Danio rerio: one gene and its partners. The protein of the gene in region 4 purifies or fractionates together with the protein of the main gene of each other region. This does not show direct contact. Links are inferred from orthologs where the notes say so. Each region holds a gene or a part of one and is shown on either strand. Other genes may lie near its edges.

Region 1 (4,427 bases), on a different chromosome or scaffold from region 4:
ACTTTCTCCAGAAGAAAAAATATTATCAGACATACTGTGAAAATTTCCTTGCTCTGTTAAATATCTTTTGGGAAATATTAAAAAAAGAAAAATTATTAATTCTGACTTCGCAACTCAAACATGTTTACAGTTCTCAAATTTTCACCACATGCAGGTTAACAGAAATATTTAATATTCTTTTTAGTCAATTTATTATACATGATTTTGATTATTAAATTTTTTTTAACTTGACTCACTAAAACAAACAAAAAAAAACTACATATATAGAATATTTAAAACTAAAATTAAAACTCGCCTTTAACCAGGCAAAGAACTTTAACTATATTGTACATTTTATTTCCGTAATAAAAGTTAATTGTAATAACCCTCAGTTTTTGCAATGAGTATTTTAATGAGCGTCCTAAAAAAGGCTAGACAATCTAAAACTAAAACCAAATGCAAACAATTAAACAGCATTTCAATTATACTAAAATAGTAATAAATACTAAACAACAGTGTCCGTTCTCAAACACGTCATATTTATCAAGTTAATATTTTTCTATAAACATTGCATAAGATAATCAGGTAACACCTCAGAAAAATGGCCTATTAGTCAATGCAGTTACTAATATTACATAACTATGAACACTCTTGTAAAGCATTAATTAATAAAAGCTCAACATTCACTAATGGACAACTAAAATCCAAAGTTAACAAGTGCACTAATGATCTTACCTTGATTGACATTGACAAAGATGAATGAATACAGTAATAAATGCATTAATAATTATTTATTTATGTTAGTAAACACATTATCTACTAATGGACCATTATTTTAAAGTGTTACCAGATAATCAAGTGGTTATGATCTCATAAATCTCATTATTGTGAAATGAAACGACTCATATTGGGAACTTTTAGTCATATCACTCCAGTTACTGTGATTTATACTGAAGCGTGTGTCACCTCCAGGCGTTTGATTCTCTCCTCATCCTCACACAGTCGTCCTTCATCAACTTCGATGGCTTTCCTCATCACCGTGGCCATTTCGTTGATTTTTTCGATGTGCGCTTGCATCTCCTGTGACGTAAACACCGTAACAGTTAACACCTACACAATATATTGTTTCAGCATTGATATTGCAACGAGTGAATCTGCAAAAGTAGGATCTGCAGTGTGCAGTTGGCATTATAAATGACGAGACGCCTACAGTTCAGATCATAGTGGAGTCATTTTAGATTTTAACCTATTATTATTTATTATTTGCATGTATATATTATTGTGTGCATATTCTTTGCAAGCCAATTTGTGCACAATAAATTCAATGTTTGTAGCTTAGATTAATTGTATATAATTATTCACAAAATGAGCGTTATTGTGTTGGCTTGAGAAAGCCAACATGCTGTTATGCTACTCTGTCCTTGAAAACAAACGTATCTCCTCCAAGGCCGTTCATGCCACAAGGCCCAAATGTGGTCTAAATGTGCCTTCTGCATTCAAGATTGTTGCTATATCTCCTCATGCCTGTTAGACTTATCATTTTTTTTAAATAAAAAATGTTAAATATTATATTTTTATAATCCGGGCATATAAAAAAATTATACAAGCCCCAAATTTGGCCAAAAGCTGTATTTAGATGCGTTAGATTTTGTTGCTATATCTTTAAGGTTTATCAGATTTATAGTTTTTCAATAAATAATTTTTAAGCATTATTTTTCTCAAAATATGGCAAGCCATTTTTGACTTAAACTCCATATTTGTTACTGATATGGCAAGCCATTTTTGCATGTATCACCTTCACAATTATTAAGTGTTGTATTTTCAAAAAAATACAGCAAGCCATTTTTACATAATGTTCATTCCCTTAGTCCCTTTATTAATCAGGGGTCGCCACAACGGAATGAACCGCCAACTTATCCAGCATTTGTTTTACACAGCGAATGCCCTTCCAGCCGCAACCCAACACCAGGAATACATAATGTTTAAGTCCAGTTTTTGACACTCATAAAGACTGTCATAGAAACATCGGGGTTGATTAAGATCACTCATATTGCCAAGAAGCTTTGATGTATCATCACTAACCTGTCAAATGTCCCCATAGCATTAAAACAGTATAACCTAGCAACCATTTAAAAATAGCAATATCTCTACATCAGAACATCGTAGAGACTTGGGCATTGGCTTGTTTGACTCATTCTAGCAAATGGGACTTCCTGTGTACTATGCATGGTAACAATGATAATGGAAGCCAAGTGCTTATAACGATTAGCTACATGCTATGAATGATTATCTAAATGCAATAACATATGCTAGAAATGCCTACTAAGTATTAGCATTTGATCAAACATGTACACGAGCATTGCCATTTAGCAACTGCTCAGCAACCACGTAACAATGCCATAAACGTTTGACTTTCTCAAGCCAACATCAAAGTTTATCAATGAACTTTAGGTTCTAGTTTTACATTACACTTTTCCAGCTGCATTTTCAAGCCATGCACAAGTGTGGCAAATTTGCAGGCTTTAATCACATTATATCAGCTGCTTTCTGTTATAGTATAGTGTGGTATTCTAAGAAATGGCATGTTTGCACCGAGCCTAATATCGAAAAACTGATTTACTCTTTGTAATATTAATTTTAATTCATTTAAAGTGAGTTATTATTACCCATTTATTATTATGCAAGTGGCACAATTACATTTGCAAGCACTTTACCTAAAATCTAAGCACTTTTTAAACCTTTGAAAACACTATAGATTAAAAAAACTGAAGTTTTTCAAGGATTTCCAGTATGATTCCTGAGACTATTTGTGTAGCAGCTTTTTAATAGTGAATTTCAGTGTGTGCGTGGGGGACTGACGTTCGTGTGCTGTTCTCTGAGCTGCGTGACGATGGTGGGATCCTCTTTTTTGCTGGCCATCAGAAGTCGAAACACTTGCTCTCTGTATTTGCTCATGATCAGCTCCAGCGCAGACTGATGCTCCTCCAGAGACGTGTGCAGCTCTGCACAGAGACTGGGCTTTAAAAACAGGCCTCAAATAGCATGCAGGAAAAAAAAAAACACCAAGCACACACCTTTGTTTTCTTGCTGCAGTTCCCGTATTTGCCGGTTTTCCTGTTGGATGCCCATGACTAGTGTTGAGCGTGGCCGATGCCTCGCAACCTGGTTTAACACCTCGATCTCTTCCTGATACTGAGATCACAACAAACGATTGAACAAAAAATAAACAAACAAGGATACACCGACAAATACACTATTCAATTTAGGGTAAGCTGTGACTGCCTGAGATTAAACATACAAAATGTAGCAGAGATTTAGGTTTATTACTGAGATATATTTAGTTTTATATTTGCATGTTTGTTTGTTTTTTGCAGCCCCTATATTGTTTTTAGCATGCTACTGTAATGGAGGCCAGCCAGTAGGTGCTGTGCAGGTTAACCTCACTCCTCTGAGCTCTAAAGGTGCTCTAGTGACAGACGCTAGAGGCCATGGTCTTTAGCCTCCTTGAAAGAGCAACTGACTGGGGAAGGTCGCCGGTTCAATACTAGCTTGGAGCGGGTTGGGTGATGTAATACTGGTGTGGTTACATTGGTGCCGTGACCCGGATGGGAGTGAGGTTTAGGGGGGGTGAGTGTAGTAACGGAGGCCAGCCAGTAGGAGCTGTGACGTCAGGCGTTGCCGAACTGTATTGTGGATCCGTCGGCGCCGTTTCAGAGGTGTTGCTCGCTGCAGAAGTTGGGACTAGCTCAACTTTTCAAGCACTGACAGAAGCGTCAGCCAATCAGATTGCTGTATGCAAATACACCAGCTAGACAGTGGCCTATTGCTGATTGAATTTCATTGGCTGACGCTGCTATGACAATCGCGTCAGCCCCAACTTCAGACACGCCTTCAGTCAAGCGTTGACGCTGAAGCCCTGTGTGAACGGGGCTTAAAGGTGCTCTAGCGGCAGACACTAGAGGCCATGGTCTTTACCCTCCTTGGTAGAGCAACCGACTCCCATGCAAAAGGTCACCGGGTCGATACCAGCTTAGAATGGGTTGGGTGGCGCAGGACCGGCGGGGTTACACTACTTATAATATTCGGTCTGAAATCGTATATTAGTACGAGTTCAAAACAACATTAGCACCATTTGATCAACTGTGAATAGTGTTGTGCTTTGATAATCATTGGCTGATAATAAGATTTCCATATTTACAGTTTGCAAATAATACTGTTCTGAAATGATGACGGTGAACCTGCAAATAGATTGAATCATATTAAACAGTGCTAATGTTGTTCTGAAGTCATACTTGCATGCAGTTTCTGACCGAATATTCAGTGTAGCATGTTAAACAATACAGAGGCCGTATCACTGAACAAATGTGTGAATATAAAACAAACTTAACGTCAGTGTAAAAGAGAGTATTTGACCTGTTTCATGGCCTCCACTCTCTTGTTGAGCAGTG
Region 2 (4,785 bases), on a different chromosome or scaffold from region 4:
TTATAGGATGATTTTAGCATTAGCTTTGTGGAGAATGAAAACCCGGCAGCTAATTTTGTGAAAACCCGGCAGTGATTTTGTGGACAATATGTTAGCATTAGCGGTTGTTAAAAGAAACCCCAAGAAGGTGATTTATAACAATGCTAAAATTAGGATCACATGTTAACTAATCCAAGAGCTGATGCAAAGTAGAACTAGCATTAGCTGCAAACACAATGTTAGCATTCGTTAGTTGTTTGTAGAAAGAAATCTCAGGAGGTGATATCTTACATAAACACAATGTTAACAATAGCTGAAAGAAACCCCAAGATATGGGAATGTTTATAACTTAGCTGCATGTTAAAATCGACTGTGTGGTGAAGGAAAACCAAAAAGCGGATTTATTGGATGATATAGAGAATTTTAGCATTAGGAGAATGAAAACCCAGCAGCTGAAGTGATCCCACCTGGTCAAGCTTATTTTCCAGCCTGACCAGCTAAGACCAGGCTGGAAATAGCCAAACCCCTTGTTTTTTTTTCAGCAGGGACTTTTTGGACAATATTATCCTTAAATGTTATTAAACAAATCCCAAGAGCTAAAGTGCTTAATGACAATGTTAGCAATAATGACAAATACTATATTAGCATGAGCTGTGTGGAAAAAGAAAAAAAAGTTGAAGTGATGTCTTGGATGTTAGCATTAGCTGTGTGTAAAAAGAAAATCCAAGAGCTGTGAGTTTGTTTGACAATGCTAACAATAGCATTTGAAATGTTAGCTAACCCAAGAGCTGATAAAGTTCTAGCATTAGCTGCAAACACAATCCCTGCTGAAAAAAACAGCTTAAACCAGCATAGGCTGGTTGGGGGGGGGTTTAAGCTGGTCGACCAGGCTGGTTTTAGAGGGGTTTTGGCCAGTTCCAGCCTGGTCTTAGCTGGTCAGGCTGGGAGATGACCAGCTAAAACCAGCTTAGCCAGGCTGGGAGCTCAGCCAAAACCAGCTATGTCCAGCTTAAACCAGCCTGGAAATGGCCAAAACCTCTCTAAAACCAGCCTCGTCAAACAGCTAAAACCAGCCAACCAGCCTAGGCAGGTTTAAGCTGGATTTTTCAGCAGGGATATGTTAGCATAGAAATCTCAGGCACTGTATAAACACAATGTTAGCAGTGTGAAAAAAGAAACCCCAATATATGGCAATGTTTATAACTAGCATTAGCTGCAAACACAATGCTAACATCAGCTGTGTGGTGAAGGAAAACCAAAAAGCTGAGGGGATTTTATAGGATGAATTTAGCATTAGCTATGTGGAAAATGAAAACCAAGAAGCTGAAGCAATTTATTGGACAATATATGTTAGCATTAGCTGTTGTTAAAAGAAATCCCAAGGGGTAAGGGGATTTATGATAAGGTTAGCATCAACTACAAACTATGTTAGCTGGAGCTGTGTGTATAAAGCTGAAGTGATGTCTTGGACAATGTTAGCATTAGCTGCGTGTATAAAGAAAACCCAAGAGCTGAGGTGATTTCTAGAGTAGTGCATTTTTAATCGTTGTGCTTGGAGGAAACAGGACAATTTCTCTGAACCTCGTCCGACAACTATAATACAGTTAAACATCAGAGGTCAACTATAATCTCTTCTGTACATATGAACAATACTGACTTGAAAAGAATACTTGATTATCCTAAGTGTTCAATACAGGAGACAAACGAAAATGTTTAAATGCGCGCCGCTTCCAATTAGTCAGGCTTCACGACGTAAGTAACCGAGCACGCGTGAGAGCAATTGAAAATACTAATAATTATGGCTTAACGGACAAAAATGAAATATCCTGTGTTCGCGATGGCGGTACTTATTGCCACATTCAGTTCATTTGGAAACAAGTGAAAAAATATGAACCCAAATTTAATATTACAAACGATATATACAGTTCTCATTTTCCCTTCAAAATTCCTCCAATGTACAAGCACAAAAATCACACGCACACGCGCACACACACACACTCACACACACTATAATCTATACAACATTTAAGTTCCCGGTTCTTATTTACACATATTTGGTAAAACCCTGATTTCGACAGTTTTTAAAACTCACCTTTCACTTATTTAAACGTAATACACAGTTGATTGAAAATACTAAAGAGCAAAAAGACCACTAGCTCTTACTTTGATCCAAAACATTTGACCTAAAAGGCAAATTGTAAAGTGTTCAAGCAGTCTTTCTCTTATTTTCTTTTTTCTTAAACAGCTGAATATATTAAAACTATGGTCCCAAAGTACACAATGTAATATAGTGTAACAATTATGGACAACATGTACAAATACTAAAATGCTGCCAGTAACCTAACTTCACAAAACTGAGGGGGAGGACAGGCTGAGGGCACAGGGAGGGCAGTGGGTGGAGTCTATCCGTGGGTACTGTAGTTTTCATTAGAGTTGGGGTCCAGGAACCAGATGTGGTCTTGTGAGAGGTTGTTTGTGTTGTTGTTGGACGGGGGCTGCCTTGTTCTGCTGCTGCTGGTGGAGGCTCTGCTGTGAGTCTGAAGGGAAGAGCTGCTGCTGATCATCTGCTGAGATCCTCTGCTGCTCGGGACAGGTAGATGGGACCTGGGCCTCATCACTCGCCGAGGAGAAGTGTGAACACTGTCAGTCTTTTCAAAGCAATGAACAAAAAACATTTTAAAAGAAAGAAAAGTCGAGTGTATAGTAGTTTATATTGTATATGCGCTCTGTTCTAAAATGAATAAGTGAGCTAGGCCTCCTTTAAAGCTTAAGTAAGAGGAACACTCCATTTGTGGAATTTCCCAGAGTTAAACATTTGAGTTACTTGGTGTGCTAAAAGTGATGGGATGGAGCCATAGGTCGATATGGATTGGCACTATACTCTCATTTTGGCGTAAAAATCAGGAAACTTTGCTGCCGTAGCATGGCTGCAGCAGGAGCAATGATATTACGCAACACTGTTACTTTGTTACCTAGCTAGAGACTATTTTCAGGAGCCACATAATATCATTGTGCCTGCTGGAGCCATAATACAGCAACAAAGTTTCTTGATTATTAAGCCAGACAGAGAGTATAGTTCTGAGCCATACCAATCTAGAAAATAGCAACTTTTATTTTATGTTGGATTTACATACATGATGTAACTGGAGAAGAGTCACATTTTAAATGGGAAAATTATATTTTTAAAAAATGTATAGATTAAATAATAATTTACATTTATAGAAATGTTATAACGTAATTCTAAAAAGTTATTTCTCTTTCACAAACTTAATTTACAACATTAAAACTTAATTTTCTTTACAGGAAATGATACAGATACAAAAACAGTTTAGAGTAATAATGCTTAGAAACTAAAAAATAAATGGGTAAAAAAGGAATTAACATTTTGGCTGGATTTTTCATTTTAAATGGTTGCTAACATTGTGATTTAAATATGCTGACTATTTACAACAGTGGTTCTCAAACTGTGGTACGTGTACCACTAGTGGTACGCGGGCTTCCTTCTAGTGGTAAGCGGATGAATCAAATATGTCATATGTACATGCAACATATATTTAAGTAAATTATCAAAAAAGATTAATATATGAATATGATGACATAAAGCCTATATTTATGAGGTCTAGGCAACATTTCCAGGTGCTGATAAACCAGGATTTTTTTTCTTTATTTTACTTTTTAAGAACAGTAAGTTACCATTTTTAGTTTTTAAAACCACATTTAAATTTAAATGTCTTAATAATAGGAACTAATATGCATACACTTTAGCTGCTTTACTGGACCTAATACGCTACTGTATTTCAATACTGCTCATTATGGTGGCACTTGCAAAGACAACTTATTTCTAAGGTGGTACTTGATGAAAAATGTTTGAGAACCACTGATTTACAATAAAATGACAATTTGTACTTTTGAGTACAACATCTGAGACTTAAGCTTGCGTTCACACTACGAGCGGCTCGCATCAGCAAAGCGACAAGTGACCGCTAATTTCAACAAGAGGGAGTGACTTCAGGCGACCTCTGTCCACGTTAGTGACAACAACCGTTGGCGACAAAAGCTCCTTTCACACATAAAAACCTTTGTATGTGTGAACAGGCCCTTTTTGAAAATACTGGTAAATTAATTCTAGCAATTTTCCAGAGAGAGAAGTTGTAACATTACTGGTAATTTGCTGGAATGCTGCACTGATTGAACGCAGAAGGAAAATTGCCGGAAAGAGCGTGTTCATGTTTAGAAAGCGCTGACATGAGACGTCTACTCTAGCCAATCAGAACATTCAGGCACATTCACATCTGCGCTGTTTATGAAAATAAAAGCCTTTGAATATTTTTCCAGATCCATTTAGCTGCTAGATTTTAGTCAGATAATGTTTCAGTGTTCCTTAATGCCAACGGTGTAAAAACATTATCAATAAAATACTTATGATAAGCCTGCTTCAGTTGCTTGATGCGTGTGCACGTGAAGCAGCCGGTGAGTCGCACATATTATGTACATCTTGACATGCGAAAGTATTCCTCCATATGTTTTCATCGAAGTTGTTCACAATACTTATCCATCCACAAAATCTGTAATGTAGTCAAATGTTTAAAAATACAAGCGCAGTCGTTTAGAGGCCATTTCTGATTAATGATGTCAGAATTCACTGGTATTTTGGAATAGATGTGTGAACGGTCTTTTCCAGAAAAATGCCATAACGTCCGTGCCTGTGTGAACAGTGCATTTTTTAATTTACCGGTAAAGTCAGCCCGGAAATTTTCCGTACATTTACTGGTATCACTGTGTAAAAGTGGTTTATGTGGGCGTATA
Region 3 (5,166 bases), on a different chromosome or scaffold from region 4:
CAGGCTGAATACTATAACAGTTACCTCTCAATACAACTACCTGACAAAAATCTGGTCGGCTATCCAAGTTTTAGGAGCAACAAATAATAACTTGACATCTAGTTGATCATTTGGGGTCAGAAGTGGCTTATATGAAAGGCAAAGGCCTCTAGATGACGCTTATTTGACCACAATAAAATATGATCATGCCTTGATTTTTAAATATTTCATCAGGACAGTAAGGTCCGACTTTGCTTAGACAAAAGTCTTGTGTCTGAACAGAAATAATGTCCAGTATAGAATATAAAGTCCTGCTGCAGTGGAGACAGAATGAATATTGTGTCTGACTCCATCATGAGCTTGGAGGACTGCATCCATACTCTGCACTGACTCAAATCACTGATTAATAAAGTCATCTGGAATGGTGAAGAAAGCATTCCTGCAGGACTCCCAGAGTTCATCAAGAGTCGTTGGGTTCATTTTTAATCTCCATCTTACCCCAGACATGCTTAATAATGTTCATGTCTGGTGACTGGTCTGGCCAATCCTGGAGCACCTTGACCTTTGCTTTCAGGAGCTTTGATGTGGAGGCTGAAGTATGAGAAGGAGCGCTATCCTGCTGGAGAATTGTCCCTCTCCTGTGGTTTGTAATGTAATGGGCAGCACAGATGTCTTGATACCTCACGCTGTTGATGTTGCAGATCTCTCGCACACACCCATACTGAATATAACCCCAAACCATGATTTTTCCTTCACCAAACTTGACTGATTTCTATGAGAATCTTGGGTACATGTGGGTTCCAGTAGGTCTTCTGCAGTATTTGTGATGATTGGGATGCAGATCAACAGATGATTCATCTGAAAAAATCCACTTTCTGCCACTTTTCCAAATGATCAACTAGAAGTCAAGTTATTATTGTTGCTTCTACAACAAGACTTTTGTCAGGTAGCGTACAACTATGCCTTACAGTAAAAAATCTTACTGACATGCACATCCCTGGTGGTTAAAAAGCACAAATACTGGCACCAAATAAAAGAAAAGTCTTAATTTTCAGTCAGTGTCAGATTTGCACAGGCTGATTTTCTCTACAAAGTTCTTACTGGGAAAAAACACATTTACTCTATCCTAATAATTCTTGATATCAGCAGATTTTATAAAAATCAACTATAAAAAGAAATGCTCAGAGAGAGGTGTGTTTCTGCCAGGAGGTTTGTGGTGTGTGGCACACCACATCAGTAGTTTCATTTCTGAGATGCTGCTTCTTATATTATTGCATGAGAAATATAAATCACCAAGCAATTCTTGAGCTCCATTTCAAAGCGTAATGCCCTGCTGTGTGCTAACCACAAAAGACACAATGGATAATCCGGCAGAGTTTAGTGCCAAGCCTAATTAAACACTGACTAATGACATTAAATCAATTATTAGCAACGTAGCAGATTAAAATGAGTCAAAGTCCTGAAAGCATCTAGAATAACTAACTAAAAAGGCCAACCAGTTGACAGCAAAACTGATTTAGAGACACCTTTCTTCATATATACTAAGTGAAAAAAGCTCACAGGGAAAACTTGGTGACAAACGACCAAATGGGGAGAGACAAATTTGTAGAGAGTCCTGGGTATTAAGGCTTGTATTCCTTAAAAGAACAGTTCACACAAAAATTAAAATTCTGCCATTGTTTACTCATTCTCTGCCTCTGTAAAACCTATTTGACATTATTCTGTTAAACATAAGAGAAGATGTTCTGAAGAAAGCTGGAAACCTGCAAACATTTGACTCCCATAGTATGTTTTACAACCCCAAATCAAAAAAGGTTGGCAGAGTATGGAATATGCTAATGATTTCTAAATTTACTTTGGCTTGTATTTCAATGCTGACAACATGATAAACATTATTTAATGTGTGATTTTTATTGTTTTTTTTTCTAAAATAAACATGCATTTCAATCTTAACTCTTGCAACACATTTCAAAAAAATTACGACAGGAGCAATTTAGGTCTAGTAATCAGGTAAATTGGATTAATGATGTGATCTGAAACAGGTGATTGTAATTATTGTTTGGTACAAAAGTAGCATCCAATAAAGGTCCAGTGCTTTAGGAGCAAAGATGGGCCGAGGATCGCCAGTTTGCCAACAAACACTTGATAAAACTGAAACATTGAAAAACAATGTAGGCGAGGCAGTGGCGCAGTAGGTAGTGCTGTCGCCTCACAGCAAGAAGGTCGCTGGCTCAAACCTCGGCTCAGTTGGGGTTTCTGTGTGGAGTTTGCATGTTTTTCCTGCCTTCGCGTGGGTTCCCTCCGGGTGCTCCGTTTTCCCCCACAGTCCAAAGACATGCGGTACAGGTGAATTGGGTTGGCTAAATTCCCCGTAGTGTATGAGTGTGTGTGTGAATGTGTGTGTGGATGTTTCCCAGAGATGGGTTGCGGCTGGAAGGGCATGCGCTGATTTAAAAACTTGCTGGATAAGTTGGCGGTTCATTCTGCTGTGGCGACCCCGGATTAATAAAGCGACTAAGCCGACAAGAAAATGAATGAATGAATGAAAAACAATGTTCCTCAAAGAAACATAGGAAGACATTAAGATATTTCACCTTCAACAGTGCCTAACATAATTAAAAGATTCAAGGGGTCTGAAGGAATTTCAGTGGATAAAGGACAAGAGTGCAAGCTTAATGCTGAGTTCAGACTGCATTGATTTTGAATCGCCAGCAGGTTGAGAAATCACTGACAAATGCCTGAAATCCCAGGCAAATCAGTGCTTATTCACACGAGTAACAATTAGGTAAAGGTAAAATGTGTTGCAAGAACCAGAATTGGAATGTTTATTTTAAAAGAAGAAAAAAAAACTAAGAAAATCATAAGGAACACAATAAATAATGTTTGTTAAATCGTCTGCAACACAAGTCAAAGTAAATCTAGAAATCACTTCCTTTATGTTCGGTTTACGTACTGTCCTAACTTTTCTGATTTTGGGTTGTATGAAAGTCAATGGTTACAGGTTGTCAGTTTCTTCCAAATACGTTCTATTGTGCTTAACAGAACAACATAAACTCTTAAACCACATAAGGATGAGTAAATAGTGAGAAAATCACATTTTTAGCTGAACCATCACTCCTTTAATACCCTGGGTTCCCTTTAAATATCATTCCTAGACTGTATGCAGTGGTGTAAACTTAAACACACATGCTCAATGCAGAAGATCAAGGCCTTCGAGACAGAACAGGTCAAAACAGAAGCAAAGCCAGACAGAAAGAAAGAAGAAGGGACAGAAATAAAGGTGAAAAACAAGGCAACCGAAGGCGAGCTCCCATGCTGAATTAGTCAGAGGAGATGCGAGGTTAGCAGCACACTAGCAGACACATGCGTCGCCAACTCACCTAAACTGTTGTTTTCCTTTATGCTTTTCTCCTGCAGCTGCTCTAACCGAACTGCAAAGTGACAACGAGAACATTCGGGATGACCAGAAATTAAAAGCTGAAAGATGCTCCTCCTCAACCTCACTCATCCTTGTAGTTACCAAGAAACGAAAGTGTGCGTTTTCAAGCCAGCGCGAGCAACAACAGACATCGTGTTTTACCTTGCAAAGCTGTCAGTCTCTCATTGGTGAAGTCGTTGTCAGCCTGCAGAGCTTCGATTCGGGCCTGAAGCGCCTGCTCCTTCTCCTCCATCTCCTCGATCCGCATCTGCAGCTCCTTCTTCTCGTTCAGGCCTTTCTGTGTGAGCTCCTCATGTTTATCCTCCGCCAACTGAACGAAGTAAATTGTAATGTGTAACTATGCTTGATAACTACGGTGGCCGAGAAGTGCACAACAACATTACAAAGTTTGAAACACTTTTACAAAGCTCGAGACAAATTTACATTTTGAAAAACATTTTTACCTGTCATCAGACACAATTACAGAGGAAAAACAATTTTACCAAGGACGAAACAAATTTACAATTTAGAAAACAAACTAACAAGACGCAAAACACTTTTACAAGTCCCGAAACAAATTTACAATTACAGATTTCTTACGGAAAGGGAATGTACCACACACCGGAAGTGACCCGGAATGTAACACACACACTAGAAAATATCAATGGGGTATATGCCGAAGCATGCTAATAGGATTTTTAATTTGCTAGTAACCTGGGTTAAGCGTTTCCGGCGAATTGAATGCAAATGCAAAATCCGGTGCGTTTAAGGTCTGTTTTCTTTAAAAATGAACGATCTCCACTAGCTGAGTGGTATCCGATTTAAAGTGGGTCTCAGATTGTACAAGAAGCACTGCATTAAATTACATCTCCCCCGCCATATCTTTATAATATGAGCATTTATTTTACCCCAGTATATTCAGAGCTTCTGCGTTAGCCTGCCGATTCTGACGGGCGCGTGCGAGTAAACAGCTTTTTGTCTCGTTTTACGCTTGAGCAACCACATAAATGCTAAAGTTTATTTAACTGAATGTATTTTAATGACATTACAACATCGATGCTGTATAAGGAACCGTATAAAATGGAAAAAAAGTTCACAATAACAGGTCACCGGAAGTGTATCAGCATGGGAACAGCACTAGCTCGGCATATACCCTATAATATCCAGCTCGTGTGTGACTTTGTAGACAGGTTTCCACAAGTCTTCAACTATAAAAATCATGGCTTGACTAACTGCGATAAAACATATTAGAGCTATTCTGAGAAAATATCAGCATGAGAGTGTGTAGAAACATGTAAATGCAGGTACATGGAAAAAATGTAAACACGGAAAACCGATCTCAACCTGTAGACGCGAGTAGCTTAGATAGAGAAGTCGGTTGATGCTCGTGCAGAACCTTTTGACTTGGGTTCGAATCCCGTTGATGACATGTCAACTATAATGATTACATTCATTTTGGTTATATACTGTTCTGCTACACAAACATTAAAATCAATAATGTTTACACTGACAAGTAATAAGACTCTTTATTCGGAATGGGCATGTTTTGTTGCTGTGAAAAAGTGACGAATCTGCCTATCTGAAATAGTAGATAACATTAGTTTGCACATCTGAAAAGGGGCCTCAGTTAACACGGACACAAGATAAACCAAAACACAGGCTTCATTTAGTTTACTGTTAAGAGTCCTCAAGCAGATGTTTACACCGTGTAGACTTGACATCATGTTCACGATTACAGTGTACGAGTGGATCTCGTTAAAATATTGAAC
Region 4 (5,799 bases):
AAAAACCACATGAATTGTGCTCCCAAGTAGCGTATTGCAGAACAAATTTCATTGGTTTAACCTGACCTTGGATCAGTTTTACTAGCTTATTTTAGTGAGACATTTGTAAAATGAAAAGGAATAATATTAATTAATAGTCTTGTGTCCTGTTTAACATAACCCATCATAGAAAAAACTATATATATAAGCCTTGAAAATGTATTAAGGAATGCATACTCTGCAGACACTTAATAATACTATTTTGTGACCAGCCAAGTGCATTTAAATATTATATATTCAATTTAAAGTTTGCAATATTTAGTTTGAAAAAAAAAAACATTTCTGATCCATATTTGCCTGCATTTACACAATTTGACCACCAGGTGTACATAGCTTGTGTTAACTTCTATTTATTTTGCAAAGCAATTGGTTCAATTGTTTTGATGGCCTGAAAAGCTTCGTTTCTCCCATTACTAGAAATAATGCTTATTCCATCATTAAGCTTCCAGACCTCCAACGTAATTCAGCTTTTCTTTTTCTCATACTTAATCTCTGATTTTGAAGACCTCCTTAAAGGTGGAGATCCTCAGCCAACAATGGCTCCTGCAACGTTCATTTAGGATGAAGATGAACTGAATTTTTTTTGTACTTGGGATGGCAGATTGCTCGAACATCCTGAGGGCAAACCAGTCATATGGCCCGGCATATATAGAGACCAAACCAAGTGACCCAGTTCTGATGGCTTGTCTCTGGAGACATCTCTCTAACAACACTCTTTCCTTTTGTGTCTACCCTTCCACTTCACGACTTCCTTTCATTCTTGGATCTTCATGCATGATCTTGGATGACTTCAGCTTCATAAAGGACGTCCCAGAAAGGTTACAGTGGTGCTAATGCTCTCCAGAGAACAACAACATCAAGATTTTAATATTTAATGGGCATGCTTTCTAAATTGTTGACTTCCAGGCTTAGATGATGATGAAGGATGTAGGGCTTCTTCTGTTAACCATAATGTTTGATGTGTTTTCGCATTAATATTTTAAAATCGAACCTAATCAAGCCAACTCAAGTCAACCAAAGGCTTTGAGGAACCCCCAGTCGTCCACAAAAGTGAATAGCTAGATAGTAGAAAGGTTTATGTTAAAGTTGGTTCTAAAAAAGGTAATAATGAATTAATGTATTAACATTTTAGCGAATAACCAATGATGAGCAGTTGAATTATTAGAAAATAATGCCCCCGAGGTGGTATATTTTCTAAAAATTCATCAAACCGCAGTCAATAATTCAGAACATTTGACATGCTTTTGTCCTCAAACTGTTCCTGTGTGTATGGCAAGTTTCTATTGCTTCTTATCGAGGTAAAGTTGGTTGTATATGCACATATTCATTTATTTTAACAGTGCCTATATTGTTTACTACGCTAATTTGAATATTTGGCCTGAAGTTGCATTCAAGTTTGACTTCACAACAACATTAGCACTGCTTAATTCACTGTGAACTACGGTTGTCACGATACTATTAATTAATCTCACAATACTTTACCAGCTAAAGTATCACAATACCAACAAGTAGTATTCCGATACTGTAATTCATAACTCAAATTATAAAGAAAATGGTCAGAAATGCTATATTTTATGTTATAGTCGGCCTACTTGAATTTAATTCATAATTCCCTTAAGGCCAGAAAGTATTATTTGCACCTCACTTCACCTAAAATTTACTCATTATTTTTGTTTATTTTGTAGATAACTGACCAACAAAAAAATACACTAAAGTTACAAATTATACCAAATGAAATTTGTTATAAAAGAGCATTTTCCCCCAACAAAATTAGGCTACAGGAAGTGATCAAAAATTTCAATGTTTCCAGTTACTACTTTGGGTTTTTCATCTATTTTTTTTCAGTCTTATCAGGTAACAAGCCAAAGTACTTAAAATTTTCACTTTGTGAGTCGTTTGTTTGAAGAGGTTGTCACAGTTGTTGTAGCTACTAAATCATATAAACAAGAACAGAAATGTACCTTTTCAGATGCGAGTTCGAACTAAAGCATTAGAAATCGTGAAATGGGTTACCATAAAAGCGCAAATTCTACACAGTTTTGCAACCTCAATGGCCTCCACAGACTATTAAAATAAAATGTTTTTTGTTGCACAAGCGTGTGTGCATTTTAATGACTTTACCACTTGCAACATTATCTATTGTAGATAAACCATTAATGGCGATATTATCGTTAACAAACTACAGTGGCACCGCCAGTATTTTGGAGCCATAGTATCGCGATACTAAACCGTGCAACCCTATTGTGAACAATGTTGTACTTTGATAGTCTTTGGCGGCTAATATTATTTCACTATATAGAATTCGCAAGTAATACATTTCAGAAATGATATTATCAAGGAGAAAGTCTAAATGTGCGAAAGTAAAGTTGGTTTTATAATCGCACATTTGTTCTGTGACAACTTGTAACATAGTCCCTATATTGTTTACCATATTACTTTAAATATATTCTGTCTGTAATCAGAAGCATGACTTCAAACCAGCATTAGCACTATTTTTTTTTTTTTACTTTAAACGATGTTGTTTTTAAACTGCTAATATGATTTGCCCTTTTAGAATTAGAAAATACTTTTTCAGAAATTTTATTATTAAGAAGAAAGTCCAAATTTGTGATTATAAAACCAACTATACCCTTAATTCGTTTCTAATCCAAAACGTTTTGTTTTATACAAAATTGGACCTTTTAACACTTTCAAAGGCAGTCAACCCCATTTTGGCTATTTTGCAACTTATCAGAAAGTAGGAACTCTTTACAGACATTAAGAAACTCACACACGTACGTAGTGTTAAAGTGTAAACGATTCACAAAATAGTAGAAATGATGCTGAGTGTATCTTTACCTGCATCCCAGGCAGACTGCCCTGCACTGGAGAATGAGCCATGGCGTCACTTTAACCACTAAAACTGGCCAGCAAGTCAGCAAAAAAAATACTGTTTCCGGACAAGATACAGCTAATGCACCCCTGTATCCCGTGTGCCCGAGTTTTAATGCGGTCTCGGATCTTTTAAAACTGGATAATGGCGTAAAGAGCATCCACGGAGGGACAGAAAGTGCATGTGAAAGATGACTGGCGTGAAAAGCTCTCCTCCACTTCCGCAGCTTTAATGAGAACCGCCGCTCTTCCTCGCGGAAATCACCGCAAACAGCAATCAAAACAGCGTCGATCCGACTGATCGCAGAGTTTCAGTCGATGAAGCGCGCGATCTGAGGCGGGAACGCTCTTTTGAGGACTCCTGGAGTGGGTTTTGGAGGTTCACGCAGGCCAGATCGCTCGTCAAGAGTTGATGGTCCTCTTTGCGCAAACGGATTTCCAAAACATAGCGCAGAAACATGCGCGCGTTTGGGTAAAAATGCCCCGGTTTTGCCTCCTGAAGCAGATGCACGGATCATGAACTATATCGAGGAGTCTTTGAAGGGATGGCTGGTGAAAATCCCGACTTGTTTAAACTGAAGAAATGATGTTGACATCCTCACTTCACTTCCCAGCTGGCCGCCATCTTGTCCGTGCTGTCATCGGGACATCAGGGCGGATCCGGACCCGTGAGGTCCCGCCCCGGTAGAAGAGAGGAGGAGTTTGAAACTCTAATCATGGTAGAGAGCACATGCAGTCAGCAATTCATACAAGCTTAATGTCAAGTGAGTTCACTTGTCTTTTTATCACTATAACAATTATATTGAAAAAATATATAGACAAAAAACTTTTGTTAATGTTGTAAATAGAACAAAAAAATACTTGAATTTTTTGCACTTTTTGTGTTTGCATTTTCCTTAAACCTGTGGAGTCAAACTCAACTGGAGGGCCGCAGCACAAGTTCCAGCCCTGCTTGAACACACCTATCCAGGCCAGGTGGTTGTTTTTTTCTTAAGCAGTTGAGCTTTTTGCAACTATTTGTCTTGTTATATATTTATTAATGAAATTTGAATACTGTATTTTTGTGACATATTAAGCACTATTTTTAGCTGGATTAGCTTGTCAGGGGGTCACCATAACCACACTTTTGAGGTACGAAAAGCGTTTGCTAAATATATAGAATGAAGAAATATGAAAAAATACTTATTTAAAAATGCTAATTTATTATATCAGATTAATATTTAAAGAAATTGAGTTCAAGTTAAAGATTTAAATGAAAAAAAAAAAAAAAACAGGAGCCTATTGTTATTTAATGGGCAATAACAAACTGGCCAGCTCATTCAACTTTCCTTGGTTAGAATTTGTCCTTCTAAATGATAAAAAAAAATAAAACAATAATATTGATAATGTAGTACTTAACAGCGACACAGTGGCGCAGTAGGTAGTGCTGCCGCCTCACGGCAAGAAGGTCGCTGGTTCGAGCCTCGACTGGGTCAGTTGGCATTTCTGTGTGGAGTTTGCATGTTCTCCCTGCGTTTGCATGGGTTTACTCCGGGTGCTCCGGTTTCTCCCACTGTCCAAAAACATGCAGTACAGGCGAATTGGGTAGGCTAAATTGTCCGTAGTATGAGTGTGAATGAGTGTGTATGGATGTTTCCCAGAGATGGGTTGCAGCTGGAAGGGCATCTGCTGCGTAAAACATATGCTGGATAAGTTGGCGGTTCATTCTGCTGTGGCGACCCCAGATTAATAAAGGGATTAAGCTGAAAAGAAAATGAATGAATGGAGCTTAACTTTTTGAAAGTTCATGGATAACAAAAATAGCCTATTTAGTATAAAAATTTACTTTAACATGGGCCGCTTTTGGTGCTTCAAACCTTTTTATTTGACTTTTTTCTTTCAAGAATAAGGTCCAAGATTCAGATTAAAAGTTGACTTCACTTTCAACAAGTTTTCTTGCACAGCTGGATGTTGGAATCGTGTAAAATGATTGTTTAGATTTATTGGAAGCCTTCTTTGATGGGTTATTTTCATACTTTATGATGGCATAGCAGTCAAAATAAGACAAGTGAGCTCATGTTTGGGCCAATACTGGACCTTTTATCAGCAGTGGTAGGGGGGTGGGGTCTCTGGACCACTCGAACCCCCTCTGTCTACGGGCCTGCTATCTGTAGGTATCAAACAGACCTAAAGGACTCAATTAGTTTGTTCAGGAGTGTTTCATTGGGGCTGGAACTAAACTGTGCAGCGCTGCGGCCCTCCAGGAACTGAGCATGACACATGTGCCTAAGTGGTTCCCAAAGTGGGGGTCGCAAAAAAATGGGGAGAGTTTATATGTTATTAAATTATCAGAATAACTGTATTTTATTGATAACCTACAGAAGATAAAAATAACTTCGAATATATTTATAAAACAACATAAATCAACAACATGTAAATAAAAAGCCATTGGCCTTTACATGTTTTCCATTGGATTGCGACCCCTGGGGTTATTATGCTAGATTAATGTCACAGCAATAGCGTTAGTTGCAGAAGATTGATTTTACGGCACAATGTTTAACTTTAACACCTTTACATACATTAAAAATAAAGCCCACGACTGAACATGGAGGAAGATTATTTAATGTTTATTGTTGTGCTTCTATTTTAGGTGTGACTTTTTAACATTCTTTAAGGGGTCTACGGATGAAAAATAGCCATTCTTGGCTAATTCTGGCACATTTTACAGTAATGTTTATTAATGTGCATTGACCCTGTAAACAAATAAACTAAACTAAACTAAGATCTCCAAGTAGCGGTCTCCAAAATTATACCAAGAATAGTCTTGTGCTGTACATTGTGCCCACTGCTCACCATTCTCATTAAGTGAGGTTAATATTAAATTAAATGAATATACATTCATTCATTTAC

Evidence for each region.
Region 1: the proteins of stk24b (region 4) and fgfr1op2 purify together in Homo sapiens (affinity purification with mass spectrometry; 4 studies listed by BioGRID and IntAct, with this or other methods). This does not show direct contact. The link is inferred for Danio rerio from reciprocal best matches to the Homo sapiens genes STK24 and FGFR1OP2.
Region 2: the proteins of stk24b (region 4) and cttnbp2 purify together in Homo sapiens (affinity purification with mass spectrometry; 3 studies listed by BioGRID and IntAct, with this or other methods). This does not show direct contact. The link is inferred for Danio rerio from reciprocal best matches to the Homo sapiens genes STK24 and CTTNBP2.
Region 3: the proteins of stk24b (region 4) and slmapa purify together in Homo sapiens (affinity purification with mass spectrometry; 6 studies listed by BioGRID and IntAct, with this or other methods). This does not show direct contact. The link is inferred for Danio rerio from reciprocal best matches to the Homo sapiens genes STK24 and SLMAP.

What each region holds. Positions count from the first base shown.
Region 1 is NC_133179.1:2,052,049-2,056,475, reverse strand, and holds part of fgfr1op2 (FGFR1 oncogene partner 2 homolog), read right to left. Parts: coding exon 4,393-4,427; intron 3,172-4,392; coding exon 3,054-3,171; intron 2,982-3,053; coding exon 2,839-2,981; intron 1,060-2,838; coding exon 946-1,059; intron 1-945. UniProt on the Homo sapiens protein: May be involved in wound healing pathway.
Region 2 is NC_133193.1:22,112,599-22,117,383, forward strand, and holds the end of cttnbp2 (cortactin-binding protein 2), read right to left. Parts: intron 2,628-4,785; coding exon 2,382-2,627; 3' UTR 1,500-2,381; downstream 1-1,499. UniProt on the Homo sapiens protein: Regulates the dendritic spine distribution of CTTN/cortactin in hippocampal neurons, and thus controls dendritic spinogenesis and dendritic spine maintenance.
Region 3 is NC_133186.1:44,671,069-44,676,234, forward strand, and holds part of slmapa (sarcolemma associated protein a), read right to left. Parts: intron 3,729-5,166; coding exon 3,560-3,728; intron 3,411-3,559; coding exon 3,360-3,410; intron 1-3,359. UniProt on the Homo sapiens protein: Associates with the striatin-interacting phosphatase and kinase (STRIPAK) core complex, forming the extended (SIKE1:SLMAP)STRIPAK complex.
Region 4 is NC_133181.1:13,466,260-13,472,058, reverse strand, and holds the start of stk24b (serine/threonine-protein kinase 24), read right to left. Parts: upstream 3,511-5,799; 5' UTR 2,920-3,510; coding exon 2,878-2,919; intron 1-2,877. UniProt on the Homo sapiens protein: Serine/threonine-protein kinase that acts on both serine and threonine residues and promotes apoptosis in response to stress stimuli and caspase activation.